Drosophila melanogaster: one gene and its partners. The gene in region 3 interacts genetically with the main gene of each other region. Each region holds a gene or a part of one and is shown on either strand. Other genes may lie near its edges.

The links.
Region 1: of Snap29 (region 3) and Syx17, changing one enhances a phenotype caused by changing the other (phenotypic enhancement), as found in Drosophila melanogaster (one study listed by BioGRID).
Region 2: of Snap29 (region 3) and Vamp7, changing one enhances a phenotype caused by changing the other (phenotypic enhancement), as found in Drosophila melanogaster (one study listed by BioGRID).
Region 4: of Snap29 (region 3) and Sec22, changing one enhances a phenotype caused by changing the other (phenotypic enhancement), as found in Drosophila melanogaster (one study listed by BioGRID).

The regions. Positions count from the first base shown.
Region 1 is NT_037436.4:4,399,774-4,407,842, forward strand, and holds Syx17 (syntaxin 17), read left to right. Parts: upstream 1-3,713; 5' UTR 3,714-4,053; coding exon 4,054-4,122; intron 4,123-4,177; coding exon 4,178-4,424; intron 4,425-4,485; coding exon 4,486-5,075; coding exon of another isoform or gene 5,076-5,210; 3' UTR 5,211-5,395; downstream 5,396-8,069. Other genes in the region: slow (slowdown), read left to right, coding at 2,127-2,383, 2,452-2,870, 2,939-3,070; CG15019 (uncharacterized protein), read right to left, coding at 5,588-5,842, 6,012-6,197.
Region 2 is NT_033778.4:9,836,219-9,844,231, forward strand, and holds Vamp7 (Vesicle-associated membrane protein 7), read right to left. Parts: upstream 6,285-8,013; 5' UTR 6,083-6,284; intron 6,008-6,082; exon of another isoform or gene 5,950-6,007; 5' UTR 5,833-5,949; coding exon 5,629-5,832; intron 5,551-5,628; coding exon 5,322-5,550; intron 5,258-5,321; coding exon 5,190-5,257; intron 5,132-5,189; coding exon 4,976-5,131; 3' UTR 4,862-4,975; downstream 1-4,861. Other genes in the region: CG1663 (uncharacterized protein), read left to right, coding at 971-1,213, 1,272-2,192; Lsm11, read right to left, coding at 2,425-3,195; Marc (mitochondrial amidoxime reducing component), read left to right, coding at 3,610-3,616, 3,675-4,297, 4,366-4,652, 4,726-4,831; sting, read left to right, coding at 7,586-7,685, 7,742-8,013.
Region 3 is NT_033778.4:23,840,013-23,847,713, forward strand, and holds Snap29 (Synaptosomal-associated protein 29kDa), read right to left. Parts: upstream 4,752-7,701; 5' UTR 4,635-4,751; coding exon 4,367-4,634; intron 4,298-4,366; coding exon 3,711-4,297; 3' UTR 3,471-3,710; downstream 1-3,470. Other genes in the region: CG46398 (uncharacterized protein), read left to right, coding at 1,041-1,191, 1,246-1,427; shu (shutdown), read right to left, coding at 1,683-2,240, 2,316-3,066, 3,124-3,182; CG5554 (uncharacterized protein), read left to right, coding at 5,147-5,319, 5,523-5,684, 5,754-5,928, 6,095-6,577.
Region 4 is NC_004354.4:802,385-811,273, reverse strand, and holds Sec22 (secretory 22), read right to left. Parts: upstream 5,199-8,889; 5' UTR 4,790-5,198; coding exon 4,709-4,789; intron 4,642-4,708; coding exon 4,532-4,641; intron 4,306-4,531; coding exon 4,004-4,305; intron 3,921-4,003; coding exon 3,772-3,920; 3' UTR 3,074-3,771; downstream 1-3,073. Other genes in the region: CG43867 (uncharacterized protein), read left to right, coding at 1-247, 317-1,576; CG13358 (uncharacterized protein), read left to right, coding at 6,377-7,200, 7,272-7,353; CG13359 (uncharacterized protein), read left to right, coding at 7,848-8,889.

The DNA of each region.
Region 1 (8,069 bases), on a different chromosome or scaffold from region 3:
CTGACTTCTTCTGAAGCCAAAGGAGAACTTAAAGGTGTAGCCACAGGTGTTCGGGCTTTCGGCAATTAAAAATTCAAATTTAATTTTAGCCTAAACGTTTCTAAACAAAGCAATGAAGCCATCCATTCACCAGCACACATGCATTCGATTACACTTTTGTCTGGCGCTGTCTGGCGCAGCGGGATATATACAAGGCGCCGATGGGCGGAGGGGGCGGGGCAGGTCGGCCTGGGGTCGGGGTGCATCGTCTGCAATTGCACGGAAAGAAAATTGGTAGTTCATACTTAAATATGATTAAGGATAATTGAATAAGTCGATTTAAACAGAGGTAGAAGCACATTTCTATGGATTGTATTATTTTAATAAGAACCATTCATATTTTATCAGTTAGTTGAAACTATTAAAACAAAACATATTAATTGATTTTTTTTTGGTGCACTGAATCCGATTGGAGATTTATGCAGCCAGTGGATTGGAGATGGAAATGGGAATGAGCATTCCATGTTGCACTTTGCTGCTGGCACAGTTTCTGCTTTTCGGGAGAAGACTTCCGCATTTTATTTAGCCGTTCTTGTTATTGTTTTCGCTGGAAATGGAGGCCAGTATCTTTGGTTTTGGCTTTGTTTGGCGCCCTTAACGCTCAGAATGCTGGCGCATAAATAACGTGAGAATTATGGTACAAGAGAAGCCAGTTACAGCAAGCAACATACAGGGAAAAAACCCAAGAAAGAACAGGGCATAAATATGCATGCGCGGCAATAAAGAAATTGGTAAATGTCCCGGTCGCAGGACCATTGTGGCCAACTGTGTGCCACTTTCCGCTTTTAAATCGCGAAATTTTGGCCAGCCAAATGGCCAGCAAAAAGACCAACCAACGATCGCAGCAGTCAGTCGTCACTCAGTGGCCACGTCACGCGTTCGCAATTGTTTTTGGCCCGCATTGCCAATTACGACACCATCAGCCACCACCAGCATCAGTTGCTGCAGCAGCAACATCAGCAGCAGCAACTGCAGCAGCAGTAACTGCAGCAGCAGTAAGTGCTGCATCAAACAGCAGCGTTTATTCGCAGCCCCACAGCCTGCCAATTTATGGGATGCACCTCGCTTTTGGGCCAGTTTGCCTCGTTTTTTGGCAACCAAAATCAAAAACCGCTTATTATCAGCGCTTTTTATGTTTGACTGCTTGGGGGCCAAAGGTCTTAGGAGCATTGGCACTTCGGTTATTGGATTTTGGCTGGGTTTGAGAGGCACAGGGTCATATATAAAGATTTATTATAAAGTGTGAAGTTGGGATTGTACTTGAGTAGTAAAAACTTCAAATGCTCTTATGGGCTTAAATTTGTAATAAAACAACGGCTACAGCGTTAGTTCCGAAAAATTCCTGGTAAGGATCTAAATGCTGAAAATATTATGTTCAATAGAAATATTGGCTAATATATAAACATTTTAAAAAAATTACTTTTAGTCTGATTTTTATCCTTTAAAACATTAAATTGGTTACCTTTTTTTGAGTTAGAAGTACATACATTTTTCGCTGGAAAAAATTGCTAAATTTGAATTTGTTGCACAAGGCAACCGAATTGGATAACAACTAATATGGAATATCCTTGTGATATTTCTGTCAACAGTTTGACAAGCCTTCAAATTTGGTTTGACAGCCACTGAACTGTCGGTTGCGTGAACTGGAGCACTTGGTTGCCAGGCTGATAGGCTGCCAGGCTGCCAAACTGCCATCTGGCTGCTCCTCCATATCCGAGTCCGAGTGGCGGGCAAACAAATGACATGGCTGACATGGCTGCAAGTCATCGGCTGGGAGCGTGTCGTGTTTGTCATCGCAGATACGCGAACACGCTAATATCGTAGTCCAGTCCAATCGAATCCAATCCAATCCAATCCGCTGGCACTTCCAGACACATGTGACAATTGCCCAGATCCCACTCCTAAAAACAACCTGTTGGCCGCTCTGTGTCGTTATGACTGTAATTGGGCGAAGTCGTCTGGAAAAGTCAGTTTCACTTTTGCAGATGATGAGCCGCTGATTTGGGTCAGCCACACCGCTCGAATCCATTCCAATCCTATTCGATTCACACCTCGCTCTGGTTTGTTTTCCTTGCTACTCATTGCAGGCGGCACATTTGCATGCAACAGCGAACGGTTACGATGCCCGTGAAGCGAACGGAGGTCTACAGTCGTCCCACCTGGAAGCACGTGGCCACGCCCTGCCAGCCGCCCACCTTTAGTGGCCAGAAGTGCACCAGGGTGCAGGTGGTCCACGAGCAGGCCTACAGGGACGTCATCGATCACAAGACCGCCCAGCAGATGACCTACGACTGCTGCACGGGATGGAGCCGGGAAAACCCAAGGTCGGATTCGTGCATGAAACGTGAGTCTTAAACAAAATACATAGATTGCAATGAATTTGGAATATTTTTATCTTCTAATTATTTACAGCTATTTGCTCCGCGCGCTGCCAAAACGGTGGCAATTGTACGGCTCCTAGCACCTGCAGCTGTCCAACTGGTTTCACAGGACGTTTCTGCGAGCAGGATGTGGACGAGTGCCAGACGGAGAAGCCATGCGATCAACAGTGCATCAATACGCATGGATCTTACTTCTGCCGCTGCCGTCAGGGATTCGTTCTCCAGTCGGATCAGCAGAGCTGCAAGAAGGTGTCCACGAATGCGGACGATGCGTTCGAGGCTCGGGATCTGGAGAACGATATCGATGATACGGACGCGGAGGTGGCCACGCGACTCCAGAAGATCGAAAAGTCCTTGGCCAATGAGCGAGTGCACACGAACGAGCTGCAAAAGTCGCTGCAGGCCACCTACAGTGTGGTGGACACACTCAAGAGTCGGCTAAGCACGCTGGTAAGGATTAGAGTTGAACTTCTATATTTGAATATTCATACTTTAACGATTACTTCGTATGCCCTCAGGAAAAGCAGGCTCAGGATGTCAGTCGACTGCAGACGAATCTCTACAAGACAGAGTCCCGGACGAACAAGCTGGAGGGTATGCTGAACCTGCTGCTGAAGTGCCGGAATGGCCCCAATGCCAATTGCCCCTAAACAGAACTGCATTTCCCCACGCTATTATTAAATGTTAGTTAACTTAATTGACCACTCCGTTCATGTGTAGCTAGATGCTCCTGCTTGTAAGCCATTCCCGAATGCGAGTCGAGTGCCTCTGTAGTCTGTAGAATTAGCCCACGGATCGGGCTATTAGTACTTAAGCGAGAACGTGTGTCATAAATGTATCGAGATGTGAAGTTTTAGACGTAAGCGCACCACCGCACTCTGCACCGCTCTTCATGTGGGTGGTGCAGTGATTAGTTTCTGCATGTATCTGTATATAATTTTAATGTATATGAGAAATCACTGCACGAATAAATGCATTTTCTGATTTTAATGGGTCTTTCATGGGATATTTAACAAAGGAAATCTATTTATCTGGAAGTTATCATGAAAAAAAAGGTAAAGTGCTGCAATATTTACTTTTATATATTGGCTACAACTTAACGCGCAACATAAAATTTGGTTATTTTTCCTTTTAAATGCAATAATGGTGAGTCAACAACTATTTTTATGACCTCGGCTGTAAGCTGACCTTTTAGCGGGGATTCCCACCAGCGGAGACAATCGATAACTGTAAGAATAATATCGAGTGTGGGCAAGGCTGCGCAATATTCGCTAGTATCGAACTGATTGCCATCTCTATCACCAATAACAAACAAATAATTGGACTGCACAATAGAATTATTATCAGTATAAATATAGGGGACAAGACCAGCATGATTGGAACCATGCCACCGTAGTTTCATTCACAACAACAAAGCACTACTCACTGGAAACATCCCGAAAAGCAAGCAGTGACGTCACTGGCAAAACAAAGCAAAAACTGCGCAGAAAAACCAGGGAAATCTGTTAAGCAAGGTCCATCGTTAAAAAGGGGCGGGGGGTGTTACAGAAACTGATCCCCCAGATTTCACTTTTACCACAATTAAAACTGATTAAAAATCAAAGCGCTGCGAGTTCAAAGTATTCAGTTCACGATGACGCGCGATGAGAAACTGCCACTTAAACAGGCGGAGGTCTCCATCCAAAGGTTTCAGGATGTGGCGGTAGGTTATTTACTATATCTTCTGAAGAGCGGAACTAATTCCTTAACACTCATAGGTGCCCCACCATCTGAGCCTACTGAAAAACCATCGCAGCAATATAGAAAAAAGCCTGGCGCTCGGCGACTGGCAAAAAATCAAAAAGGAGGAACTCAATGCTATGAGGGTCATTAAGCAGATCAAGAATCTACTTCTGGAAATGGATGCACTGCGAGAAAAAGTACGGGAGGAGGATCTGGAACGTTTCGACGACCTAATGAAACCTGGCAGGGATACTGCCTTCGCTGGCATGAAGGAATTTGCGGGTAAGTTTGAAATGCCATCTAAATTCTTTCGGCTTTACCAACACACCTACTGTATTTTTAGAGCTCCAACTCAAATCACCCACCTCCACTTTGAGTTCTCAGTACGACGACGATCTGGACAATCAGCCACAGGAGGTGGATATGAACAGTCTACCCGCACACCGCCACATGCCCCAGCTGCAACTCAATTTCCAGCTGGAGGAACACCAATTGGCGCAGAGGCAAGCCTGCCTGGATCAGATGGAGAACCTGCAACAGGAGATCTACGATCTGCACGGGATGTTCCAGGGAATGCGTCAACTGACTGCAGAGCAATCAGTGGCGGTGGAAAAGATAGCAGACAATGCGGAGGAAGCTCTGGAGAATGTCCAGCAGGGCGAATTGAATCTGCGCCGGGCGCTCACCTACAAGAAGGCCATGTACCCCGTAGTCGGAGCTCTTCTGGGCACCTGTGTGGGAGGACCCATTGGTCTGGTGGCGGGCATGAAAGCTGGAGGATTGGCGGCAGTAGGATGTGGCATCCTCGGCTTCACCGGTGGCTCTGTGCTAAAGGCCAATCCCAATGTAATGCATGGCAACATCGAGGAGGAGCAGGTGGAACCGGATAGCGAGTCAACTGAGAGACTGGAGCTAAAAGAGAAGCCAGAATGACCCGCAGGAGGAAGTGCCCGATCCGCATCCACGGCTCTGGCCACCACGCACATATGGTCGGCGAACACACGACGTTTGGAGGCAGCCACCAACGGAGTGATTTGCAGCGTGCGCAGCTATTGTTCCGTTCAGTAGAAATTTGACCACGATTTTAGTTCAATATCCCCATTTTGTGATTTTCCACGTGCAATAGAGCTAATGAGCATAATGTAACTGCACTTTAGTTTAAGCGTTGGATACTTGTTGTTCACATGACACCGCAAATGTGTGTAGATTTTAAGGCTTTAATATGCAATAATAACTCGTAGCTTTAAAAAAGTAATGATACTATTTGATTGCCATGTTGAGAAGTTCAGACTATATCTGGGTTTTTCAGAACTTGTTTGGGCTTTAATATGCAATATATACTCTTAGCTATAACATCTTTGTAGAAAAAGCCTACAAAATCTCCTAAACTAAGCGAGGACTTATAAACTACGATAAGATACCAGATGGGTAACCCAGCCCCGGATTTATAGGGGAACATTAACCGTGGTCCAGGCCTGTTTGAAGTTCTTCTTCTGCGAGTGCTGCTTCTTTCTTAGACGCTTGGCGGTCTTCTTCTTCTTGAACCACGCAGGATAATTGCCGTACTGATCTTTGAGGGTCTTGCTGTTGAAAATGTGCTCCACGCCCGTGTTCTCGTTGGTCACCTTGACTTTCTCGCCCTTCTCCAGACTCTCCTGGTGCTCGTAGATCAATTCCTGCTCCTCCTTGGATTTGGCCTCCTGTTTTAGGAATACAATTTCTTCTTTAATAAGGATATAAAATACGTAACAAGAATGAAGGTAGTATCGCGATAAACTAAGCCGGTTTTTCGCATATTACATGCATACAATACATATAATACATTAGGTAAATTGGTATATTTGTAGGTGGGTATATCACATAACTAACCCTTTTGAGCTCCTTGGCGGTCTTAATTTCGACCACATCGCTTATATCCTTCATGATCTCATTTCCATCGGCATCTAGGAGTCCCAGAGTTTTCTTCAGTCGAATTAACTCCTTGGCTTCGTACCGCGCCTTCTTTATCTTATTCATTTCATCACGACGCTTTCTCGAGCGATTGTTTCTGCCCATTTCGGTAGTCGGATATTAAGTAATACCAGAAAAAGTCAAAGAAGTAAAGAAATTGCGTTCAATTTGCTAAAAACGTAAACACGTGTGTTTTTGCTAGAGCTGGAAAACTGCCCGATTTTTCTTCGATTTTTTTCAGCGGGCTCTTATCGATAGCGCAAATAAATTAATCGACCAGGGCTTATTTTTAGTTATTTAGCCGCCAAGATTAAAAATTGTTTTTTTTTTACTCTCGTTTTTTAAATAGTTTTATATACTTTCTATGTAAAAGACACTTATCTGTATAGAAATATGTGTCATATTATTTAATTACACCTTATGTCCTTATTTTCCCTAATATGCTGTAGCGCTGTTGTATCAATTATCAGGTACATAAATTTTTAAAAACCACAAAATATATTAAAACATATTAAATTCTAGTTTTTATGACTTTGCCTTTAATGCATATAAGTTATAACTTTTTTAAAAACCACAAATTAAGCTTTTGTGGCTTTTTTCCACTTCCATTTTCGTTTCCATTCATCTCTTTCTTCCCCTTTTCCACTCTGTATTTATTTACCTTTTGTTCTCTCTCCTTTTCAGTATATATATATTGCAATATGATTTTTGTATACAAACAAAATCAGCTGCTGAAGAGAAAATGAGAGGCTTGCCAAATACGAAAAGTAACTAAAATAGGAAATATAGTCGTTGTGAAATGCTCTACACCGACTAGATTTTTAATACACTAAATAGAATTTTATAAAAAATATATGATTGTACAAAATGCAATAGTTTTCTCTAATAGCTAAGACAATGCATATAATAGTTTGTTTAACAGTTTAAAAGAATTCGGCTTAAATGCACTTACTTTTTAAAGACCTTGATAAAAAGGTTTTCACAAAGAGATAGACTGTAAAAATGTCCTAGCTATTTAGCCAAAGTATAAGGTATTGTTAATGTACAATACAATGTGTTTACTTCAGTGACATAGCTGAGTTACTTTCGATTTGGATAGAGCATCCGAAGAGCCTCTCTTGCACATGCGCAGCAGCAGAAAGAGGCAGAAACAGGGTAAGTGTGTCGGGCTCAGCTGTAGAGCCACCAATACATGGGTAGCGCACCAACACCAGCGAACAGCAGAGGCACACAGATAGGGGGGCAACCAGCTTGGTTGGCCAGTTTGTAGACCTTCTGCCATCATTCGCTCGTCAGTCGTTGTTGCTAGCATACGTCACGGAGTTCCTGTAGCGCTGCTCTTCTCCGCACTCTCACCCCCGTCAGTTAAGCAAAAACGGAAGTAATCAGCACAAAAAACAATAAGCACGCCAATTAAAAAACATTTCGAAAACTGTGTAAAAAGCCTTGCTGGTGCAAATTATTGCAGAGAATACGGGTAGATTCCGACACCGATCGATCAATAAACTCCGCGCAGCAAGTAAGTGCAGTTTTAACCCCCCCAAAGAAAAAAAGCAGAAAAATACTGAAGCGGAAGTCCTTCTCCAAGGAAAGGACATTACACTCACACACGCACCAACACATGCTCAGATATGTTTCTCAAAAGTTCTGCTGCAAGCCGATTTACATGTACACACATCCCAAAGTGCAGCCCAGCGATACATACGAAAAAGCAGGAAAAAATTCTGATTGCACCTTCGCATCCAAAGAGTTCACACTTTTGCGGCTGTGTGAGTTTTCCTTGGCTTTCGGCCAGGCCAACAGTTTTCCATCTCCACATGCACTTACACACACACAAACACCGATTTTCCCCCAAATTGTATTTGGCTGCAAATCGGCCGAGTTTCTTGTTAAGGGGATTTCCATTCTGGGCATCTAATAGCCATAAATTTGACTTGCATCACGTTTTCAGCATTTTTAGCGATCGTTATCAGATCC
Region 2 (8,013 bases), about 14 Mb from region 3:
CAAATGGCAAAAATGGCAAATAATGTGGACGAAAGAAAACACATTGATTGGCTTGATTATGCACAATAAACCGGAGTCGGTGACTTTTGTCAGCTTTCCATTCGCTTATGGTAAATTGCTGGGCGCTACTGCCAATTAAAATAGAAATTGTTGACCAGCCGAAAAGTCTGTCGTCGTTTGCTTTGCATAAAAAATTAAATCTTCAACACACAAACGAAACATACGAATTGTTATTGCTGTTGCTTTTTTTGCTGCTGCTGTTGTTGCTGCTTCTGCTGCACGCGGTGTAAAACTTTCGAATCCGCTGGCTTTGTATCGTATGGGATCGGATCGGATCGTATCGTATCGGATTGGATCGGATGGGATCGGAAACGTTTGGATAGAGCAAAAACGCTCTGCACAGGCGCGTAACGTGTTTTCGACTGAGCTCGGGATCGCGACTGCGCCAACAGCAGTTCCGAAAGCAGCAGCGACGCTCCAAGCAGCAACAGTCCCAGTTTTAATGAATGAAAGCGCAAGTTTTTACCGCTTTGTCAGGCCAACAATATGCACTTTTTGTGCGTAAGGCAACAAAGCCCGTCCTTTGAGTTCACACACAAAAGAAGAGCAAAACAAAGCGAAAACAAAAATTGCTTTTTGGCCGAGTGTCGTCTGCCATTTGAATTCGAATAAGACGTGCAACTACCTATCGATAAGTCTATGGCCCAAGTCGAATTTTCCAACACTTGCGCTTGTAAATGAGAATACTTATCGGAAAACAAATCGTACCTGAAAACGATACTTAGTTCATAAAATGTGTAGTTTTCGGAATAAATTGCATGCAGATTCTAAGGACATGATACCAAAACACTCAAATAAGAAGCATTATGTAGAAAGTGCACGCGTATACATGAGAAGTGACTCCTCAATTTTAATCAAATGCTGCCTTTGTAATGTGGACACTTTTGGCGGTGACAAATGGAAGGAATTCATGAAGCACCTGGTTCAAAGGCATGGAAACGAAAGTGGATTTAATGCAGATGAGGATGAGATCCAGGACGAGGTTCAGGTGGAGATGACCAATCTCTTGGCGGCGTCTATTGCTCAGGAATCCAAGTTGGCGGAGGTACAGGAATCTTTCAAAAATGTAGAATTTATGGAAGAGGAGGTGGAACCAAACTTTTCACCAGAGAAAGAGCAGGGCCATGATGAGCTCGCAAGCAATAGCCACCATGTAAGCAGCCTTGGTTATTAATGACACTTGCTTGACTTCGATTCTTTGATTTCCACAGGACTACATCTCGAACCAACCCCACAAAGCCTTCTACAGCCTGCAGCGCACCAGCCCCGGAGTTATTCAGTACTTCATACAGCAACTGCGGAGACACAAATTCTTCTGGATAACTGAGCACGGGATCAATAAAAAAGATCGCATGGATAGTTCCCAAAAAGTGGCAGAGGCCCTGTTCCATCGATTTCACTTCCAGTTGGACCCAAAGGTGGTCAATGCCAGTGCCCGTTTCCTGCAAGTCTGGTTTGAGCGACAGTATGTAATGCAGTTGAGCAGCTCCGACTTCCGCTGTCGCTATCCAAAGTACTACCACAGTTTGCTGAAATTCATGCCCACGAACCACATATCAGTGACCATTTGCGAGGAGTGCGACCGACGGTTTCTTAACGAGCGCCTGCTACGGCTGCACAAATTCCGCGTCCATGGGGGACCCAATCCGAATGTTTGTCATGTGTGCCACCAGAGCTTTCCACTCGCCTCCAAGCTAGAACAACACCAGGCACGGTACCACTTTAAGCGGCCGGAGTGGCAATGCAGCAGATGCGATTACAATGCACCTTCCAAGTGGGACTTCCAACAGCACCAGGCCATGCACGCGGGGCAAAGGAACTATATCTGCGAGCTGTGCGGGCACAGCTCGAAGACCAGCTCCGCCCTGGCCGTTCATCGGCGAACTCACGACCAACCGAAACTATGTTGTCCGCACTGCAGCCGGCAATTTCGAGAGAATAGCACCTTGAAGAGTCACATCCGGAAAATTCACGACGGTAACAGTGCGCGGCAGGTCTCCTGCGACTTTTGCTGGCGGAGATTCAAGACGCTGGAGTTGCTGAAGCTTCATAAACTGGTTCACCTCCAAAGCGAAGAAATGGAATCATATGAGGACGATGATCCAGAGGAATTGAACAGATTCGTTAGTTAAGTACGTTTCGAAAAATATAAAATAGTAGTTTAAATTTCTTTAAAAGTAAAACGATTTCAAACCTTAAATGGAAATATATCATATAACTTAATTTGTATACATTGTAGCGTAACTTAATTATATATATCAATAATTTACATATATTCTTAGCTACTTTAATAGAGACTGCTGTAGTTTTTTAAGTAGAACCCTACGCGATTTTTATCTGAGGTGACTTTTAATAAGCTATACACTATTTTGTTGGTATTAAACTAACTAGAACCACATTCTCGCCGCGTATTAAAATCTGTGGGAGCTCTCGCCGAATCTCCACGTTTTTTCGGTTTAGATTTTTGACTACAGTCCTGGGAAGAGTGATACCCAACTCCTTGAGGCGGCCTGTGCAATCAACAGGTGTGTCGCATATGTTTTGCTCTCCGTAATTGTACTTTCGTCGCTTCCAGGTTTCGGTAACATTCCTCAGTAGGAGGTTCCACTGCTTGTCAAAGGCCAACAGTTCACCCTCGACACTGCCGCCCACCGATCCGTGTTTGCGAATCACCACCCGAACTCTTCTCCTTTCGTTGGATTCATTGTGGCTAGCAGGGGATATACACTTCGTTAGGAGTTCCAATGGACCGACAGCTGCCTCCATGTAGGTGAAAATATTTCGATGATGCTTCTTTCTGCTACTAGTGGTAGGCATCTGGTGCGGCTCAAAACGTCGCTCAGGAGGTAGAATATCTACAGCCTCGGAAGTGGAAGCCTTTTTCGATGTCCCCTGATCTCCTCCTTCTGCGGATCCCGGCTTTTGGCGCTTGTTCAGCTGCCAGATGCCGAATTTTTTAAGTGCACTCTCGAAGGCAGCCAGATTCTGGTAGATGACCTTTGGAACAGCATCGGTCACCCTAAAATTGGGTTCGTATAACGCTCGCAGAGGATTAAACCTATCACTGCCCACATCCAATTCGGAGATTTCCGACGAGTCGTCCTCATTCGAAGTTTTCCGGTCCCTCGATTCCATGACACTGATTCCCGAAGTCTGCCGATAGAAGTCTGATAGAACAAAGAACCTTAAATTTTTTTCTTTTTCCGCTTAAAAGGCAACAGGCTTCTTGCAATTGTTATGTAAACAAAGGAGCACGAATTCGCCGGCTGCATGCCCGATAACAGTTATCGATTAACCTGGAGGGAGCGGGGATGGTAATTTAAAAATAAATGTATTAAGTCTACCCTATCACTGAAAAATAGCACTAAGAACCAGGTTACATTCCTTATCATCAGTTGCTACTGTCAAAATGACCGCTGATATACATAGATGCATGTGTTGTCCAGCCTTGGTAAGAGATCTTCATCAAAGGAGAGCTTTTTGTCCAATAAACCTAATCAGTGGAGCTTTTGACTCAGAGAAAGCAACAAGTGTTACAGCGCAAAGGAGATGGCAAGTGAGTGAAAAACCGGGATTAGCTGGGAGATCCTTAAGTAACGTGGATTATCCTGCAGCCGGCGGAAATAACTCGACCTTTGACCTCAGTCCCAAGACCCTGGCGGCCGTGGGCGTGGGCCTGGTGGCGGTGGGCGGGGCTAGCTTCCTACTGTACCGCCATCTGACCCGCGATGTGGTTCCCCAAAAGTGGCGACGCGTGGGCACCGTGGAGAGGATACACTTTTTTCCGGTCAAGTCCTGTGCCCCTATGGACATCTCGAAGCCCGGAGTGGAGTACGACTGCGATGTACTGAGCATGTCCTTTGAGGGAATAAGGGATCGCACCTTGATGGTGGTCAATGAAAAGAACGAAATGATCACGGCTCGGGTGTATCCGCTTATGACCCAGATCAAGTCGAAGAAGGTGTCGCCCAGCAAGCTTGTGTTCAGCGCCCAGGACATGCCAGACCTGGAGCTGGACTTCGAGAAGCTGGACGGTCCTGGCAAGGATGTGAAAACTTCCGTTTGGGGCGTTTCCATAGACGTGATGCCCTGCGGAGATCGGATCAACACGTGGTTCTCCCAGGCCATCCTGAAGAAGGAGAGCGGCCTCAAGCTAGTTCACTATCCCTATCCGAAACCAGTGAGATGCACCAATCCCCGCCTAAAGTCCATGCCATTCATTAGACAGGAGGACTCGGTATGTTCCTGATGCGCAATTCGAAGTGTTAGGACCCAGATCACCCTTGATTTGAATTCTTTCCATAGGGCACTTTTAACGATGCCACCAGCTTTATGCTGATGAACCTTTCGTCGGTCGCCGATCTTAATACTCGGTTAAAGAATCCGGTGGATGCACTGCAGTTCCGAGGTAACTTCGAACTGAAAATGGATGTTGATGAGCCCTATGCCGAGGACAATTGGCAGTGGGTGCGTATAGGCGAAGATGCTGTTTTCCGTACGGTGGCGCCATGCACTCGCTGTATTTTTACCAACATTAATGCGAAGACCGCAGAGAGGAGTTCCGAAGGAGAGCCTCTCAAAACGCTCAGAAGGTGAGTCACTACCCATGGAAATATCTGAGAAGTACGACTTACAAAACCCGACCCTCATATCTGGAATCCACAGCTATCGCTTGTTCAACTACAGTTCGCCGGCTCTGGGCGTTCATATGGGACTTCGGCTGCCGGGAAAGGTGAAGGCCAACGACGTCGTGTATGTGGAGGACAAGTGAATATTCCATTATCTCTTCTAACACTTTATCCGGTATACATTGAAGTTTATTACATAGAACATAGATGAGAGTACTGTAGAGTTTTATATGCAAATATACATGTGTTATGAGCCTATAACAATATAAACAACTTTAAAGCTTGTCCTAAACACAGGACTGCCAAGCGAGGCCACCACAGGCCATGCTCACAATCACGTAAACGATGAAGGTTATCACCAGACCCACCACCACGTAGACGCGGATGTTCTTCCAAAACATTTGACGAGCCAAATTTCGGGAGGCCTTACGGAATGCAACGGACTGTAAGAGAGATCAAATGAAAAACACATTTAAAAGTCTCTGCTTGGCATCACCTTACATTATTGCTCAAGTTTTCGGTCTTGTTGACGAGCAGCTCTAGTTTCTCGCCGCGATCCCGCAAGCTGTCTGCAAATGGGATGAAAAGGGAATAGTAAACAAAAAGAACATACGGATTTTCCTTCCTTCATACCAATATTCTTAACCATAATGTCTTTAAGCTCGTCAATCTGACCATGTACTCGCGAAATGGTGTCCACCTCCCGGGACTGACTGAAATAGACCATCTGCTGGGCCAGGATCTTGGAGAACTCGGTGTTCATGGAGTAGGCGATGGCGGTGGCCACCTGTAGGCCGTAAGTCTGGATAAACTTCTGCTTGATATCCGCCAAGAAGAGGAAGGCCCGCGACCGTTCGAACTCCTACAAAGAAACGATACGTTATCGATTGGGCAATAAGCAACTGAGGTGGCTAATTGGGCCAGTGGTTCGTTCACCCACGTTGTCGGTGATGCACATGTAGACCAGTTTGTTCTCGCAGGTGTAGTGGATCAGGTAGTCTCCGTGTGTGTAGGTCATCTTGTGGTTATGCACCCCGATCCGTCCGATTATGTGCTCCGTCACTTCGGCAAAGTTGCCGACGCACTCCGCAAACTTCGCCAGCACTGTGGTGCCCCGCGATATCACACTATATAGTATCGGCATGGTGCCACAGATTCTCCTTTGCTAAGGGCGCGGTTGTTCAGCTCCTCAGGCTACTGCTTTGTTTTGCTTATCGGGGAATGAGCCGACGATCCGTCAATGATGACGTGCTCTCGGATTCTGAGAAATGTACATATCGATTTAGAAACTACTACTATCCAATTGCGAGCCTATCAATCTGAACAATAACTCTGTTTATGAGTAACATACGTATATATGTGTAATATGCAAATTGTTATATCAAAGTACTTGCTTTGTTTATCCAATTAGATCCGCCTCGAGTTGATAGCGCAACTGCAGATTTACATTTTGTGGTAAGCGGCTTAAGTTATTATCGATTTTCAATTGCTTTTGCCGAACACAATAAAAACATCACAATACCGTGGAATTAGCTCGATTTTTGCATTACAAATAACAACAATTGCTGACGCTTCGATGCAGTTATAAAATTAGAGGTGGAAGGACGGTACATCGACGCATCGATATTTAATGGAGCCGATAAGTCTGGCTTTATCGCACGGTCACACTGCATAACGTGTTTTACAAATTATGTTATACGGTCTTATGATTATTTGCATTTGCTTATTAAATTAAATGATCTCCGCAACTTAAATAGGGGCATCCCACCGATAGCGTTTCAGTATTGACGAGAGCATCAGTTCATCCAGTTGAGATTCTTCTCCCCGGACAAAGAATTTTCCATTAAAGTAAATTTAAATTAATAGCGTTCCCAAGCTTTTGCTCCTGAGATCTTTGAGCCTGGATCCATTCGTTTTGACAGAAAAAACCGCAGGTAATAACTTAAACTATGTACACACGCAAGATACAATATACGTAGTTTCAATATGCGCATATGCTGCCGAAATATTCGATTTAAAATTACTTATTTTAAAAGACTTAGAATTCTCATTTATTCTGGCCACAAATATGGCACGATTGCACTTTTTTGAGCCTTTTACAGGATAAGGTTTCTATAGAATTTAATATTAGAACACAATAAGCATGCTTAAATAAGATCATTTATCAAATCTTATAATTCGTTTAGGGTGTAGCTATCAGTATTTAAGTTGCAGAGTAAGAGCGTAATGGTTAACCATTGTTGATGGTTAATTAACCACCAATTGGTTAACCATTGTTAATGTTTAATTATCTTTGTTATTTTTTATTATTTTGATCTTGATTAAGAATATATATACTTTACATGGCCGGGAACGCTTCCTTCTACCTGTTACTTACTTTTCAACGAATCTAGTATACCCTCTTACCAAAGACACTAGAATAACAATATGCGTTTTTGGGAGGAGTCTAGAGCTGGCTCCGGCTCTCACGAATATTTGTTCCAGAGGGCGGAGAGCTTTACAGTCAGCAGATTTCATGTCTGTATATGTATCTGATAGTCGGAACCGGACATTGTTACCTAAAGTTTTATTTCGAATACAAATTGATTAACGAATCTTTGAGGCTATATTGATAAAATCTTATCTGATACCTGATAAACAAACACAAAAGTAAATAATAATAAAAAGATATAACAATGTAGTTCCTTCATTGCTTCCGTCATACATAAATATGTGCATTTGTATGTGCACGCAATGTAATTAATATTTAGGAGCCCAAATTCAGTTATGTATACCTATGCAAGCCCAATAAACAAATTTATATATAATTTAACGGCATTTGAAATTCCAGCGAAGTTTTCGCGAGATCTCCAAATCGATCTGGCAACCCTTGAGACGTACATATGTATGCAGACGAAATGGCAATCGCTAGCAACGTTGTCGAAGCGGGGAACGCGGTTCGCGCGGAAAAAGGCAGAAAATATTTTTATTTTCGAAAGATGATAGGAGATTATATTGGTGAGTGATGACCGATGGACGCCATAAATTATCTTTACGGTCGTGATTCGTTGCAGACACCTCTATTCGCATTGTAGCCACCGTGTTCTTGGCTGATCTGCTCCTTCGCTTGTACCGCTGTGTCGTCGAATATGGGAGCAATGGGCGGTACTATTTGCCCGAGGATCGGCTGTGGATAATCCTGCGGCGCTCGTGCACGTATAACAACAGATCGATATACCTGATTGTGGGATTCCTTCTCGTAGCTTTTTTTCGAATTTCGGTTACCGGGAATTACAGGAACGTAATGCCCACGACGCTGTTTCTGTTCCAAATGCCGCTCTACTGG
Region 3 (7,701 bases):
GCATAATCGGAATTAACTACAAACACATTAATCCGGCCAAATAGAGGGGCATTTCCTACTTTCTATATTTCAGATTTACACATTCTACAAAGTACGGAGTAGATTCGATGACGTGCTCTCGCCTGTAAAGGCGCGACTCTCAACGCAGAGTGCTATGGACGCACTTGCAAACGCGCTGTCTAAATTTCAGCTCAAGCGAGAATCTTTTACTGCTTCGGAACCGGTTTGACCTGGTTCAAGTGGTCGTATTTTTAGCGGTGGCGCGCACCCTGTGTGGCGCAGAGCGTAAAGCGTGCGACTACAAATCCCAACTGACGGGGTTCAAAACCACCTCTGAACAATTTTTTTTTTTGTTACTAATAACCTTTTTTGAAGCCTTTTCTGTCCTTGAATTATATTAAAAAGTTGAGTAGGGGCAGTAAAGTAATTATTGAATAGCCCATTTTCTTTTTGGCTTATACTTTGTACAATGTTTAACGTGTTATAAACGGAATAATGACGGTGAAAATGCGTTTTCCAATTGATTTTCCATGCATATTTAGACACCACAAACAGAAACTTCATTTTGTGAATATAATCCACTTGATGAACAATATAAACGCTACAATGATGCTGAAAAAAACTATTATTTTAATTTTACTGGCTGCTCTTCTGGACAAATCTGGTGCAAAAAAAGTCGACGGCTACAAATGGTGCACGGTGGTCAAAAATGGAGTCTGTGTGAATTAAAAACTTTATAAATATTAAATAAAATATGTCCCTGTGTTGAGTCCCTCAAACCAAATTGAACCAATCCATTAGTTTTCATGTACTGTGCAGTGCAGTGGAAGAATTCTTTTGCCTTGCAGTTACAATCTTGTAAAAACACATTTACATTCATCAGGGCGGCACAACTGTTCTTTAATCTATTGCGACACTGAACAATCCCAAGCTTTGAATTAGGAACTAGCTGGTAGCCATAGACAGTCGTTTAACTAAACAGGTTTGGAGGAGATCAAAAACTTTCGGGCCAATTAAAAAAAATAGCTTTCTTCGAGAAAATGGCAGATACGAAATCCCAAGCGGAAACATTTATTGAAAACGTCCTGGGCATTGATGATGGAAAAGCAAGCTTAAGTGCGGGCGAACTACCTATGGCCAGGAGTTTTTTCTGTCCGCTCCTGCTGCTTGTTCTTTGGATAGTCTCCTTAAGTACGGATGTGAGTTGCTCTTAGACCAAATCCTCTTACTTTCTTATTTTCCCAGGCATTTTGGGTTGTATATGCGTGTGCTGCAAGTTTGTGAAATCGGAATCATTTACGAGCTACGACTCCGACAGCTTTGAGCTGCAGGAGGTTCATATCGTAGAGCCCAGACTTGGACATGTCAAAGGATGTGCGTGCCTGGAGTGCCTGCATCGCCAATTCGAGCAAAGTAATGGAAAGTAAATTAAGTAGTACCTGACGATTATGTAGCTGCCGTGCATTACTTTTATTGTGGTTTTTAACAACTTAAGGTCTACGTTGCTCTAAATAACAAAAAACGTTAACATTCGTCTGGGCTTACGATATTCATGTTGCTAATATCGAAATAACTAATGATACTGCTCTTCTAGAACTTGGAACTAAATTACCTTCATGTTTGGTATGTTTTTTTTTTTGAGTAAGATATGAAATATGAAATACTGGGGCTTCTTAGTAAGCTCAAGCGAACTTAACATCCGGCTTAGACAATGTCAGAACATCCTCTTGGATGGGAGACAAAGTTAGCTTCAGGTTGTGTTCCTTGGCCAATTTGCAAGTCGCGTCGAACTGAGCGTTCGAATAAGATTTACGTGAAAAGCTCACTTGTTGATCTGAAGTGTTCTTAAACCGCCTAATCAAATCTTCCATTTTGTCATTGAAATCCTGTTCCTTTGCCTCCTTCTCCAGCTGAGCAGGCGTTTTGCGGACGTCTGACTTTGAGTTCTTTAACGAGAAGGCACGTGCCCATATATCGCGACTGGCCTCCTCATACTTGCTGATTCTCTTGTTCATGCTGATAATCTCGTCGCTGATCTCCTTGTTCGCCGGCTGCTTGGCCTGCGCCTGCAGGTAAGCGTTGCGGGCCAAGTTGTACTCGCCCAGAGCGGCCAGGGCGCGTCCCTCCTGGAAGAGCGCCTTGCAAGACGGATTGCCCATGGTCAGGTGCCGTAAGGCCTTCATCATGATGCAGGCGCGCTTCGGCTTGTTCATCTTGTTGTAAACGATCATCAGGTTTTGCTGAGAAAGGAGACAAGGAATCAACTGCCTGGTCGAGAACGCTGCCTCTGCAAGCTATTCTTGTTGGCCACTTACGTTCAGGGTAGTAAGCAGTTCAGTTTGCTTGCGCTCCTCCTCGTCATTGGCCATTCGGCAGTAGTTCAGTGAGCTCACTGCCCGTTCGAAGGCAGTTGCTGCACTCTGATAGCGTCCGAGCTTCACCGAGTCCTTGCCATGTAGGTGCAAGTCGACAGCCTTCGGATAGACCACACAAAACTTGTCGCGGTCTTCTTGGGGGATAGCATCGATGCCCTTCGCATCTCCTATGAGCGAGTAGTCAATTACCTCCACTTTAAAGAGCGCATCCGCCTTGGGCTTGATCCGCGGAGGGCAACCGAGTTCTCCGAAAAGCAGCTTGTAGGAGATTATAAACTCGGCCTGCTCGTAAGGACGCATGCTGCGGACGGCGACCTCCAGGCCTTCAACCACCGTTCCCTGGCCAGTTTCAAACACGAATTTGCTGCCCCGCAGCAGGGAGGAGTCGAAGGGAGCGGTCTCGCCCTCCCAGTAGCCACTGTACCGAACCGAGACCCTAGCCTTGTTCGGCACCGCCTCCCGATCCACGTGACCGGTGCGAGTGATCCGCTTGTAAATGTTTTCGTCGATCTCGCTCATCAGCGCACGCAGTTCGTCGAATGAATATGTCCACGGTGAACGTAGCTCCTCGCCGTCCACGTCCAGCGCATCCTCGTAGTCGCTGTCGCTGTCGCTGTCGAGACCCAGATCCCTGGCATGGTTCTGCTGCGAATTGTCGACCTCGAACTCAACGCCCTTTTTCACGAGATCCCTGCAGAATGAGTTGCACGTGGTCATGAGTGCCTTTAATATGTATCTTATTACTCACGAATAGGACAAGGGATTCTTGAGCAACTGTGGGGTGTACGGTTCGAAGTTTTCTTCCATTATCGCAAAATTTACAGAATATTTACGAAACGAATTCCGGAATGCGCTGAGTTGGCGCTATTCTTTTGGATGCGTTTGAGAAAAGAGCTTTCCAGCGATGGTATCAACTGGAATTCGATTGCTTGATAGCTTTAGCGAATCGATTGGTCGCTGTTGTCCGGAAGTTATCGAATTCAAACAAAGAACTATATATCTTTATTAGGGCGCGAGCACTGCAACTCGAGATATCTTCCGAAAATGTATAATGTATTCCAATCCAGACGGGGAAACACTAGGCCAGATATACTTGCTTTTTATATGAATCTTTATTTAAAACTGAACACTTATCGCTCTCCAACTACGAGCACTCCATTGAGAGAATTGTTTTGGTGTGTGTAACAATAAAAAACTAGGAAACATAATGAGGAATGCATTCTTAATGGCCTTGTGAAGTGCTCACCGTGCGATATGGTATGGCTAAGATTTGTATATTAAGGGAGGGCTATTCTAAGCAATGATCAATACAATAGTATGCGAATGCTCGCTTGTTCACTTCTTCAGAAGCTTGCTCATGTCCTTGTTCTGCTTGTGAATCTTCAAGTCGACATCCTCAATTTTGTAGTTCATGTTATCCAGCAATTCATTTTGCGACTCAATTTCGCCACCCAGATCGGTGGCCAGCATCTTCAGCACCGACAGGTTGCTGCACATCTCCTCCAGATTGGAATCGATCTGGGCCTGGAAGGGATTGGCCGCCTGTCGCTGGGGCTGGTAGGTGCTGCTGGGATCACCACGCAGCTGGCTAACCGGATGATTGTCGTAGCGCTCCGCTGGTGATAGCGGAGCCGAGGGGCTAGCACCGCCACAGGCACCCTGGTTAATGTTGCTATTGGCCTCCTGGGAGGACTGACTGCCCGTGGGCGAACCAGTCGCGGTGGGTGGTTGGTCCCTGTTGCCCGAAAGGTAGTTCTTGAGGCCGCCGAAGACACTCTTCAGACCAGTCAGATGGCGCTGGCTGAAGCGCAGCGTGGAGCTGATCTCGTCCAACTGATGTGATGTCTTCTCCAGTTGCTCCCGCTGCTTGGCCAGCTCCACGGCCGTCGCCTTACCCACCTCCTGGGTTTCGTAGAGCAGACCTGGGGGTTGTAGGAGAGAGACGCATCAATAACGCCCCTTAATTGGCTGGCAATTGACCCCATGTTTACCCAAGCTTTTGTTGGTAGAGTCCAGAGTTCGCTGCTCAATGGCCCTTCGCTTCTCAGCATAGGCCAGTCGCTGTGCGGCCACTGATGGCGACGAGGTTATCTCCTCTTCGTCATCGTCATCCATCTCGAAGGGATTGGTGCTCCTCTGCTGCGGAAGCTTGGCTGCTCCCGTCCGTTTGTTCTGCAGGAATAGGTCGTCGTCCACGTCCTCGAATCTGTCCACGTCATCGAAGTGATCGTGCACTGGCTGCAGGTAGTTATGGGCCATTTCTTGTGGCGAGGGAAACTTCCAAAATGTCGAATTTTGTTATGTTTTCGTAAACTTTTATTTTCTTTGTTGTTGTCTGGAGTTATCGATTGCAATAGCGATGGTACAAATGTAGTATTTGTATGCAGTTCAATCGACTTATAAATAGCTTGACATTGCAGAGGCTTCAATAAAATAAGTTATTATAATTAAAATGATTTTGAAGATACGATAAAAATTGAATTTGTATGTAAGAAAACTTGAAGCTTGATCTAATAAATAAAAAATCGTGTAACGAGCGAATACCGACCGAATCCCCCTACCGATGATCTAGCGGGGAATAAAGCGGCTTGCCATCTCCGATGGATATCGAACCAGCACTTCTGTCAATTTTCCAGCAGGCGTCGCAGTTTCTGTAACTTTTTGGAACTGACCAAGACGGAAGCTTTAGTTTAATTTAAGAAACTGTCGCAGCCGAACGTCACAGGTTTCAGGACACGAATCGGCGGAGCAAAGCACCAAAACATCACCACATGCATAGCACATCGTACTTTGTGGCCGCGACATGCGCGGCGCTGCTTCTGCTGGCGGCGACGGCGCAGTCGACGGCAGCAGCGCAGTCAGGACTGCAGCCAGGTGGCAAGTTAATCGAGTTGGACGAGGACAACTGGCACCTGATGCTCCAGGGCGAATGGATGATCGAGTTGTGAGTGCGAAAGGGTGGCTCTGAGTAGTCCCTACCCACATGAAACCCCGCTGCCCCTGACGTAACATAAAGGGGCGTGGTGCGCCGGCTTTCTCCAGCCGGCAAGCTGGTTCTTTCGTTCTCCGAAATACCAGACATTCCTTTGCGGCGACGATGACTCATCGGCAGCTGTGTTAAACATATGTTTCTCCCTCCATTCACAGCTTTGCTCCATGGTGCCCGGCCTGCAAGAACCTGGCTCCCACCTGGGAGCGGTTTGCCCGCGTGGCCAAGGATGTCCAGGTGCAGGTGGCCAAAATCGACGTGACAACCTCGCCCTCGCTGAGTGGACGCTTCTTTGTCACCGCCCTCCCCACCATCTACCAGTGAGCACCACATAGACCTTTTCAACCCATGAAATACACATCGTCGTAATCCACGTCAATCATTTCCAGCGTAAAAGATGGCGAGTTCCGGCAGTATCGTGGGGCCCGTGATGGCGACGCCCTCCTCTACTTCGTGAAGAAGCAGCAGTGGCAGAGCATCGAACCGCTGTCCGCCTGGAAGAAGCCCGACACCACCCACATGTCCGTGCTGTCCTACTTCTTCAAGCTTTCGCACACTCTGAAGGTACGTTCACCTAGCCCATTATCGCATCGGTTCACTGCATGAGACATAAGCGGAAGCTTATCAGCGGGTTGATCCCGTTGACCCACAAAAGATTGCCGCCCATCACTCATTACTCTGGTCTTTGCTCTCTGCTGTTGTCTTGTATGTTGGGTTCATGTACTAATAGCATACGCAAAAACTCTTTAAGGACTTCAACGGGCGCCTGCAGGAGGAATACGGACTGCCCACGTGGGGCTCCTACGCCCTCTTCGCCATCGCCACCATCTTCGTGGGCGCTGCCCTGGGGCTGCTGCTCGTGTGCCTTGTGGACTTTGTCTACCCACCCAAGAAGTCGCAGCGCCAGAGCTTCTCCGAGTCCCAGGACAATCTGACCGAGGGCCTGGAGGATTTGGCAACCGAGGAGATCGAGGATGATGGCGACGCCGAGGAGAACGATGACGAGCAACGCGATAGCGACGAGGAAGAACAGGAGGACGACGACGAAGAGGAAGAGGACAGCGAGGAGCAGGTGGGCGATCTGGCCACTAAAGAGAAGGAGGCCGACAGCGAGCCGGAAAAGGAAGAGAAGCCGGAGCCCAAGCAGGCCGGCGATGCTGCGCCCGAGAAGACGGAACAGGTGCGCAAGCGCAAGCCTCGCAAAGGCGATTAGGTGCAGCGGGGTCCCTGCGGATCTTCAGCCTTAGCGATCATCAGAAGCGGCAACAAAAAGACTAACACACTGAATCGAGAGGAACACAACCTCTTACCCAAGCATCATTCGAGCGGACATAATCCGTCTGCTCTGCCTTCGCGCACAAAACCGATTGTTTTCCCTCCTTCTAATCCTAGCCAGAAAACGGCGCCCCATGTATTTCATAATTATGTAAAGCAAAATTGCAATCCATTAAGCGATAGCAAGCGTAACAATAACTAAATGTAACTTTAGTCGTATATTTTTACCTTTTGCCAAGCATTTTTGTATTTTGTGTTCAACTTGGTTTCCACACAATTCATTTCTCTTAAGCATTTCATTTGTAATTGTACTTCAATCGCAAATTGTATTAAATTTTCGTATTACAAAATAATAAAAAAAAACATACAATTTAAACTGGCTTTGTTTACTTTGCGCTTCTAAATAATTTGGATCCCAAAGAAATTTCACATATGCACGTATGTATATTTGAAATGGAAAATCCATTAGTTTCATTCACAGTTAACACCACATAAACAACATGAACATTAATGGTTTTACAAATTTATTATCAGTTTATTGTAGGAGAATATGAAATAAGACAAAATCCCTGCAATTTCGTGTGTGTAAAACTACAAATAATTGTTATAAGATGTGTGTGAGTGGTGCTGGTCCAAAATGGTTCAAATTTTCCAATACATGTGGCTGTTTTCCAAACGCAAAGAAATGGGTAACTGAAACTGTTGCTTAAAATAGTTAGCTCGTTGAGGCGTACAAAAATTCATGCCTACTATCTTATAAAAAGAGTACAAAAGAATGATTATACAAATACATATCTGTAATCTGTATCAAATGTGATTCATCTTCAGCGTTGCTTGCCTGATCTGTTGGCACTTGTGATTGAAATCGGAATTAACTGGATTAATTACAACATTTTGATTGTTCAACAAATAATAGTTCTTTCAACAAATTGCTATGGCTATTGTTGGATTCATTTCGGGGGTTGCGGGGATAAGGTACTTGTGGTGTGTGTGTATATATAATTTCTATATTTAAATATATATTTGATATATATTGTTTGGTTGTAAAACTTGTACTATTGC
Region 4 (8,889 bases), on a different chromosome or scaffold from region 3:
ATTTGTTCCGCGTTCGAGCCGCCTTTTGTGGTACCTCAAGCTTCATCTGTCCCGGAATGCCGATACCAAAACTGAGACGGGCAAGTATGCTGCCTACTGCGAGCGTGCTTTAGAAAGGACCTTAAAGAATGGAGGCCGCGAGACGAAGCCTTCGCGGATGGAAGTGTTGTCGATTCTGCTGAAAAATCCGTATCACCACTCCTTGCCGCACGCTATTCCAGTGCATATGATGAACAGCACGTACCAGGTGAGCTGTTGATTATTTGATTATCCAAACAACATCAGTTTCTCACTCTATTCTACGATAAACCCACAGGTTGTCTCCTTTGATGGATCCACCACCATCGAGGAGTTCCAGGCCACTTTGGCTCACGAACTGGGCACAAGGGATGCGACCAACGGGTTTTGTCTGTTCAGCGACGATCCTATCGAGAAGGATTTGGAGCACTACCTGGAACCGCTGGCCAAGCTGTGCGACGTGATCAGCAAGTGGGAGACGGCGCTGCGGGAAAAGGGATCAGGCAAGTTCGAGAACTCTCGGGTGATTCAACTTAGCTACAAGAACCGTCTGTACTGGAAGCATACCATCAAGTGCGAGACAGATAAGGAGCGTTTGCTCCTCTGCTATCAGACCAATTCCCAGATTGTCCAGGGCAGATTCCCTCTATCCAGAGAGCTAGCTTTGGAGCTGGCCTCGCTAATGTCTCAGATCGACATGGGCGATTATTCGCTCGAGAAGTCGAGGGATGTGGGTGTGGGCCTTAAGGGTCTGGACAAGTTTTACCCGTACCGCTATAGGGACGCCCTAGGTGCCGAGCAGCTGAAAGATGTGCAAGAGCTGCTGGTCTCCAAGTGGATGCTCCTTAAGGGCCGCTCGACCTTGGATTGTGTGCGCATTTATCTCACGTGCTGCCGGAAGTGGCCATATTTCGGAGCTTGCTTGTTTCAGGCGAAGCCCAGACAGAGTCCAGAATCCAACACCGCCTCGGGAGCTACCCCGGTAGCTTGGTTGGCTGTCGCAGAAGATGCTCTCAATGTCCTCGAGCTGTCCACAATGGCTCCGGTGGCCAGGTATCCGTATAGCTCCGTTATGACCTTTGGCGGCTGCCAGGACGACTTTATGCTAGTGGTTTCCCACGATGACGGCGGAGGCGGTGAGCAAAAGCTTCTCTTCGCAATGAGCAAGCCGAAAATATTGGAAATCACACTGCTGATAGCAGACTACATGAATGCGCTGGGACACACGGTGCCCGGGACTCCGCAGATGAACTCCCTGACGAGGAATGGGTCGCATCGCTCGCTAAGAACCTCCCAGCGGCCAAACTTGGGTGGTGGCTCAGCGGTGGCCACCGGGTTCTCTACAAATGCCACCACAACGGCCCACAATACGCTCAATTCGCATGCGACACACACGCTTAACTCCAACCATTCGCACACGCTGAGCAGCTCCCATCACGCCGGCGGGGGAAGTCAACCGGGCACTCTGAGCTCGGGTCATCATCAGCACCACCATATCCAGCAGCACCACCAGCCTGATATCCTGAAGAGCACACCGGATCACCAGAGGATTAAATAGAGAAGAGTGGGATTGGAGGATCTCAAGAAGAACGATGGTTCCCTGCACGTTGAGGATTACGGAAAAGATAATCAAAAAGAGGAAATTAGAGAGTAGCGAAGAAGGATTAAAGTAGAGCTAAAGGATCACACATTGTACATAAAGGTGGAAAATCACAGCTAAACAGACATATACAACTAACAGATACATATGCACCGGCCTAGTGGCTACAAATATGAAACTAAAGATAGAATGATAGAAAGATATAAAGATAGACGGATGGATAGCGATAGCGGTAAAAATACGACTTAGCCTAATAGGCCTGGGATGGACCTTCTTCTCCTTGCGCACCACTCACTAAAGTTATTTTCTAAGCTAACGACGGTACCCGTACTCTAAACCTACTTTGTAAACCGCAGCAGCAGGCATATATATATAAATATATACTATATATTATTTTTTTTTGATAGTCATAAGCCCAGCGTACCCGAAAGTGCATGAGGGTATGCGTAGAAACGAAAACAGAACAAGAATCTCAAAGTTCAGATTGTTCCTGACTTATTTATTTATTTTTGATTTTTCATAGTTCAAACCAACATACAAGTAAAGGCAATGCAAAACACACCTATAAAAATGATATGTTTGAGTGTTATTGCTCTTCGATGCTTTTTAATGAATCTCAATTTGTAATTGTCCCTCCACGCGCAAAACTGCCTTCTGAATTTGTATAGATGTCGGAGCCAAGAACGAGAAAAATATAGTTATACAAAACGAAGCCAAAAAAAACAAAACAAGCGAACTATAGTAGCATTAGCAGAATCCAATTGAGAAAAGCAAATATTTTTTAAAGAATTTTGAGCCTAGTGCGGGCTATCAACCAAGCATACCCATCTATTGTATATCTAAATAGTTCCAGTTACGCCCCGACCCGCCCCGCCACGCCCGACTCGTATGGTTTTCGCATAAACTAAAACTTCGATTTTATAGACCGCGTAATTTATTTTCGATCCCACTCACCACCAGAGCTTCAGCAGAACCACAGCCTAGTACACGGAAGCCAGAGGAGGTTGCAAAATTCGGTAGATGATTGCTCTTCTCCCCAGTTAATTAATTATTGCAGACCATTTCACACATCCCCCCCCACAAAGCATATGCATTCATATGTAGTTATGTAGAGAGCGTATATATGTATTCGGATTCGATATTTCACAAAACTATACACACCAAATTACGATATAGCAGTGTATATGGCAACAGCGCATTTTTTTCCTAATTGTAAAGATTTGATATTACAAATTTATATGCGCTGAGACGCAACGAAAACGGACATTTAGCGGGACGATATGAGACCGAATGGGATCGGGATCGGATCAGATCGAGAAATTCATTGAGAAGAATCGTAATTCGAAGGCTTGCAAGTGGATATAAACTATAAAGGCGAATGTATCACATCACACTCAGTGAATCGAAAAATATATAAAGGGAAATTATCGATTAAAACTAAACCAAAAATCAGATGCAGTTTCTATCTTTCGGGCTTGGGTAGTGCATCGAACACAGTTTTGCCTTCTCTTTATTAAACAATATAAATTTATTTATTTGCCTTAATTTTACACATATAAATTGCCTAAAACTGTTATTGTTTATTTCCCTTTCTCTTCTTTTCTTTTCTTTCGGTTCGCTTGTTATCTTTTCTTTTTCTTTTGTTTTTTGCGGTGTTTTTGCAGCTTGTATCAAGCACTCCGCCGGATTCGGATTCGCTATGCAGCGATCCATCTACAATCTAGACATTTATACACACACACACGGATCGACGCTCATAATTTACAGATTTGGGTCGTAGTCAACCGACTTGGCTCAAAGGTCGTCTAAACTAAACCCGATTCGTAATCAAATATTTAGAAAACCTGCGCAACGGAAGCGCGAGGCGAAATGAAATGGGAGTTAATAATTAATGGAATCCCAGACCGTAAATAACGCAAAGGTAAGTTAATATTAGAAGTAAAACAATCCTCGGGAGCGATGCGTATGCTGGTAGGGGGTTTCGCTATTCACTTTTCGCTTGCCTATGATTCATAGATATGAATGAATATGGTGTGGTTGGTGGCGTGGAGTACAGGTGCACGCGTAATCTAAATGTCTTTTGGTCTTGCGTCCTTGACGCTTGACTCCAACAAAGAACGCGCCGCTCCGAGTGGCCATGGAACTGCTTGATATTACAGAACCCAGAAATACATGATGAACACTAGAAGTATCATGCCCAAGGCCATCGCCTTCACGTACATGGACTTTCGGTTGAGCAGCTTGGCGTCCTTCTTGTACTTCTGTGACATCATCGATAGGTTCTGGGTCTTGGTGTCGAGTTCTGGAAGGAAAAACGGGGTGAACGTCAGTTGAATCCCACAATCACGCGTAGATAGTCGCGTAGATAGTAGTAGTAGTAGTTACCCGCCAGCACTGTGCCACGTTGGAGCACGTCGTCAATGTTTTGCACCATGATGCGCTGCACATCCTGCAGCTGTGTGTTGATGTTGCTGATGTTGCGTCTGCGGTCCGTCAACTGTTTTTTCGCCTTCTGTATGTACACGTCAAACTCGATGAATGCGTATGGGCGAGTCACTGAGTTTACTCGCCGGCCGTAGTTAGCATGGAACTCCTGGGCCAGGTCCTCCAGGTAATTGAAGGCCAGTCGCTTTGAGTACATCTTGTCCACCATCACCAGGTAGCAGACGTCGTTCTCGATTAGGTAGCTGCAGGGAAAATGTGGAATATTTTAATTGGGGCGCCCATTGCATCTTCTGGCTTTCGCAAGCAGTGAGCGTTTAATTTAACTTCGTATCAAATTACATCTATACTCTTTGTTCCGAAACTAAATCAACTGTCACTGACTACCCGCGGAGCCGAGAAACCTTTGTACATGGTGTGATTTTAATGGTCTATGCCCTGGCAAAGGTGCCACGAATTGGGGCTACTCACTGGAATAGGTAGGGTCCGGTCTCGATACTGCATCGAGCCGGGGAGTGGGTACCCAGCTTGCGGAAGAGCATCTTAGCCTGGTTTTGGTAGTCCAGTATGCTGCGTCCGCTCTGAAAGTGAAAGCGACTTAGTTGCGGGAGCGGAACGGAATGCAACGTATTAGAAAGTGATGCACACGGGTACCTGCTCGTCATCCTGCATGGTCCCCACCAGAGGAAGGCCATCGATGACCCTGGCTATCATGGTCAGCAGCGCCATGGCTTCTGCTGTTCCTGGTTACGATTGCTCGCGGAACTACGGGGCTGCGTCTCAAGTCTTCTTGGCCACGGCTGCACTCTGCCGTCGCCTCCTTCCACTGGCTGCTACTTATTCCGATGTGGATCCGCTGCAGTCCAGTCACCAGTGTGTGAAGTTTGTGTCCGGTCGTCCTCTTCCACTTCTTGGATTTCACAACTCAGCCGATCGGTCGGTGCTTGCCGCAGTGCTCCTGCGATGCCCGGGACTTCCAAATGGACTCTGCCTCGAATCGGGAACGTTCGCTGCTACCATGAAAACTGTGTTGCAACGTCGCGGCGGGCGGGTGTCTGGGATTGGAGTGGATTGGAGGTTTCTGTGGATGTTTGTTGCAATGTAACCACGTCACCGGTATGTCCGTGTAAATATACCGAATGGTGCGAGGCATACCGAATACCGCAGAGTATCTCAGAGTACCGACCGCCAACGGTCACATTAACGGAAGTCCATTATACCATTCGTTTCTTCGTTTCTTTAAATGCACGATATGGAAATACGCTTTCAACTCGTTTTCAAGCCAGCATGCCCCTGAAAATGGCGCTTTCGAGTTTCCGGGCTTTCCCGCAAAGCTATTTTCCCAGGTCTACAGCTTTGACAGCTTGCGCTCTGCTGTAATGTGGAGTTTGCTTTTTGTATGCGTGTGTTGTACACAGGATGCGGATTAAGGATCCCCAGAAGTTCAATAGAAGTACAATACTTCGATTCACCCATGAACCTGGCGCCCAGATGCATTGTTCTATAGCTGTTTTGAGTCCCAATCCGACCAATTGGTCTTTGGTATTTTTATTTTTTATATTGGCAATCGAGTTGCGAATATATTATTTCAAATATTTAAATATAAATAAATATTTATTTAAATTATTAACCAACATAAATCGAAATCCCTGGCACGTCGCGCCGCTTTCGCAGACTCAAATCCGCTGGCGCAGATGCCGGAAGTGGGTTGGACCCCCCAAAAGTCGATGACCAAGCCCAACCGGTTCGCCCGCGAAGACCATCCTCTGCATGGACATCCACATCCATCCCCAGAAGGAAAAGTGGTTCGCCCGCGAAACCGGACTTGGACTTGAGGCAGGGACCCAACTATATGGACTACCTGTGGTACTTGGCGATGGAGCTGCGTGCGAATGTGCGTTTCAAGCGACCACCGGAAAAATCTTTGCACTGGGAAAATAATTCATATCGAATGCGACTTATTCATCTATGTATATTATGAATTGAAGCCCTGCAAGCGAATGCGAATAACCATTCCCATTTCTGCTCATACCGAAGAATGCTAAGATATACACAAGTTTGTGATCAAAGCGGGAAAGCTTATGACATTATTTAAAATGCTTGTACTGTGATCTTAAATCGAATGCATTTCAATTAACTCTGAGCCCATCGAGGACTGCGGTCAACCTATTTTCTCATCGTGTGATCGGATCACCCGCAGCGGAATGCGTGCGCTTCCGTTTTGCTCGGCTTGGCCTCCTTCCTCGTTCCGTTGAAAGCAGGTATGTATATATAAGCCACTGCTCCACCTAGAGGCTCCACAATACAAAGTCAGTCATGGCCGGGTCAGTTCGTGCGACGCTCCTGGGTCTCCTCATGCAGATCCTGTGCAATGGGCTGGCTGGTCAGCAGCTGCTCCTCACACGTCCCCAAAGGAGCCTGTTCGAGACTCCGCTGGGTCACGTAGAGCAAGTGGAACAAGTGCCCTCTTTAGGCTGGAATAGTGTTGGTAGTGGACTCGGAGTGGGCGAGTGGCCCTACAGCCCCGTTGGTCTCGGCCACATGAGCAAGGATGAGCTGCTGACCCTGCTGGAGGCCTGGAAGGAGGTCGAGGAGGAATCGGCCACAACAACGACTGCGTCGCCAGCGGATGCCAGCACACGTAGACCTCCTCCGCCTCCACTGCCACCACCACCACCTCCTCCGCCACGACCCACACCCATACCAGTCTCCGTTGCAATCCCGTCACCGGCTGTTCCGCCCTCCGGCACTCCCATTACAGTGCGGCTCCCAGCCTTTGTGCCTGTGCGTCTGGCTGCCGTGTTTACTCCGCTTGCCGGTGGACAAGCTGATAGTGCTGTTCCGTCTGCCAACGGAGTCGGAGGGGCTGGAGGAGATGATTTGTCCACCGATGACGTGACAGATGATGACGGCGTCTCTACCCGGCTCTTTCGCTTTTTGCCCATGCCAGGAGCTCGAACGAGACCGCAATCCAATTCACAGCCCAGGCAGCAATTTGTGGTGAGGAACACCCTGGACAGCGTGGATGCGGGCACTGCCCCTGTCAGGCAGCAGATTAAACCGGAAGTCCAGCCCAAGGCGACTGCTCCGCCTTCCATTCCCAAGTTCCCTGGCCACCCAACTCCCTTCTTCCGTCCCAGGTAAGCAGAAACGAAAGCGCTAGAGGTGGTCATCTGGGCAGCCGGCTCATTTCCCTCCATTTTTGCTCTAGATTTGGTGTGCCACCGAGTCTGGCCAACGCTCGATTCGAGCTGGTGCCCTCTTCCCAAATCATCGGCGACTGGCGGGTGTGAGCCTGTGCATCACTTGACTGACCAAAACGGAGTACCTTCCGGCGAACCAACCAGGATCGAGCTTTTGAAGGAGGCTGTCTTGCTAGGCTGTTTCCACTGTTGCTTATGTATTTTATTTTTTATTGAATAATAATTTTTTTTTTTTTTTTTGTGTCCAAATAGAATATGCAATCAGTCATAGATTAGCGACATACTAACTGCTTTCGAATTGAAGTAGGCACTTTTTCTGCTCCAATGGCCATGTGAAGCCATATATGTACATCTATTTGTATGTCCTCTGAAATCGCTCAGCTTTTAAAACAAAGAGCAGTCTGAAGAGTACATATAAAGATAGCGATCAGCCCGAGTATTTAGCCATAACAATTTATAGTATTTTTCGAATCCTAAGATTGGAATATTCAGTTCAATCGAATATGTATGCAGTTTCCCCTCACACAGTTTTATAAGTTGGCCTGAAGTTTTTGTACAAAAAAATATAAATTTTATATTTAGAAATGAAATGCTCTGCATCTTTTAATGCCCTCTGCGACGTGGGAACGCCGCGTCCGAACTTGCAGCGGTTAATTCCCTATGTCGAGCCGCAACAGGACGACGAGGAGGATATGGTAGTGTGGTGCCGGTCAAATCTGGATTTGGCCTGCTCGCTCAGCGAGATGCGCATACGCTGTCCAGAGCACTTCGATGTCGCAACCGTCGTGGGGGTAAATTCGCATACCGGAAAACTAATCACCCACTTTAATCACCGGAAACTGGGGGATGTGGACCTGGCGCCTCACGCGTTGCTTAGCCGGCGAGACAAGTTCATGGACATTTGCCAGAAACAAGTAATGACGAGTCAGGGCTGCTTGGCGTCAGAGGGAACACCAATCCCCGCCGACCTGGAGGTCACTTGGCAGAGTCATAGCATCATTGACTGCCTTGCTCTCCGCAAGGTGCGTGCAGAGATGAATTTAGCTGATCAGAAGGCGGCCAAGAATCTTGTGGATCGCGTTGAGGTGCACCACAAGACTTTGCAGACGGAGGAGGCGGAGCGAAGGAAATTGATTATTGACAAGGCAAATTCTGCGAGGAACTTGACTATTGACAAGGCAAACTCTGCGAGGATCTTGGCTATTGACAAGGCAACCTCCGCTAGGAAATTGACTATTGACAACTCAACCTCCGCGGGGACATTGACTATAGACAAGGCAACCAACGCGAGGAAATTGACTATTGACAAGGGAACCTCCGCGAGGAAATTGACTATTGACAAGGCAACCTCCGCGAGGAAATTGACTATTGACAAGGCAACCTCCGCGAGGAAAATGACTATTGACAAGGCAAAATCCACGAGGAACTTGACCATTGACAATGCAACCTCCGCGAGGAAATTGACTATTGAGAAGGCAACCTCCGCGAGGAAAATGACTATTGACAAGGCAAAATCCACGAGGAACTTGACCATTGACAATGCAACCTCCGCGAGGAAATTGACTATTGAGAAGGCAACCTCCGCGAGACGTTTCTCTAGACCAAAAAGATATGTCAGCGGGTATA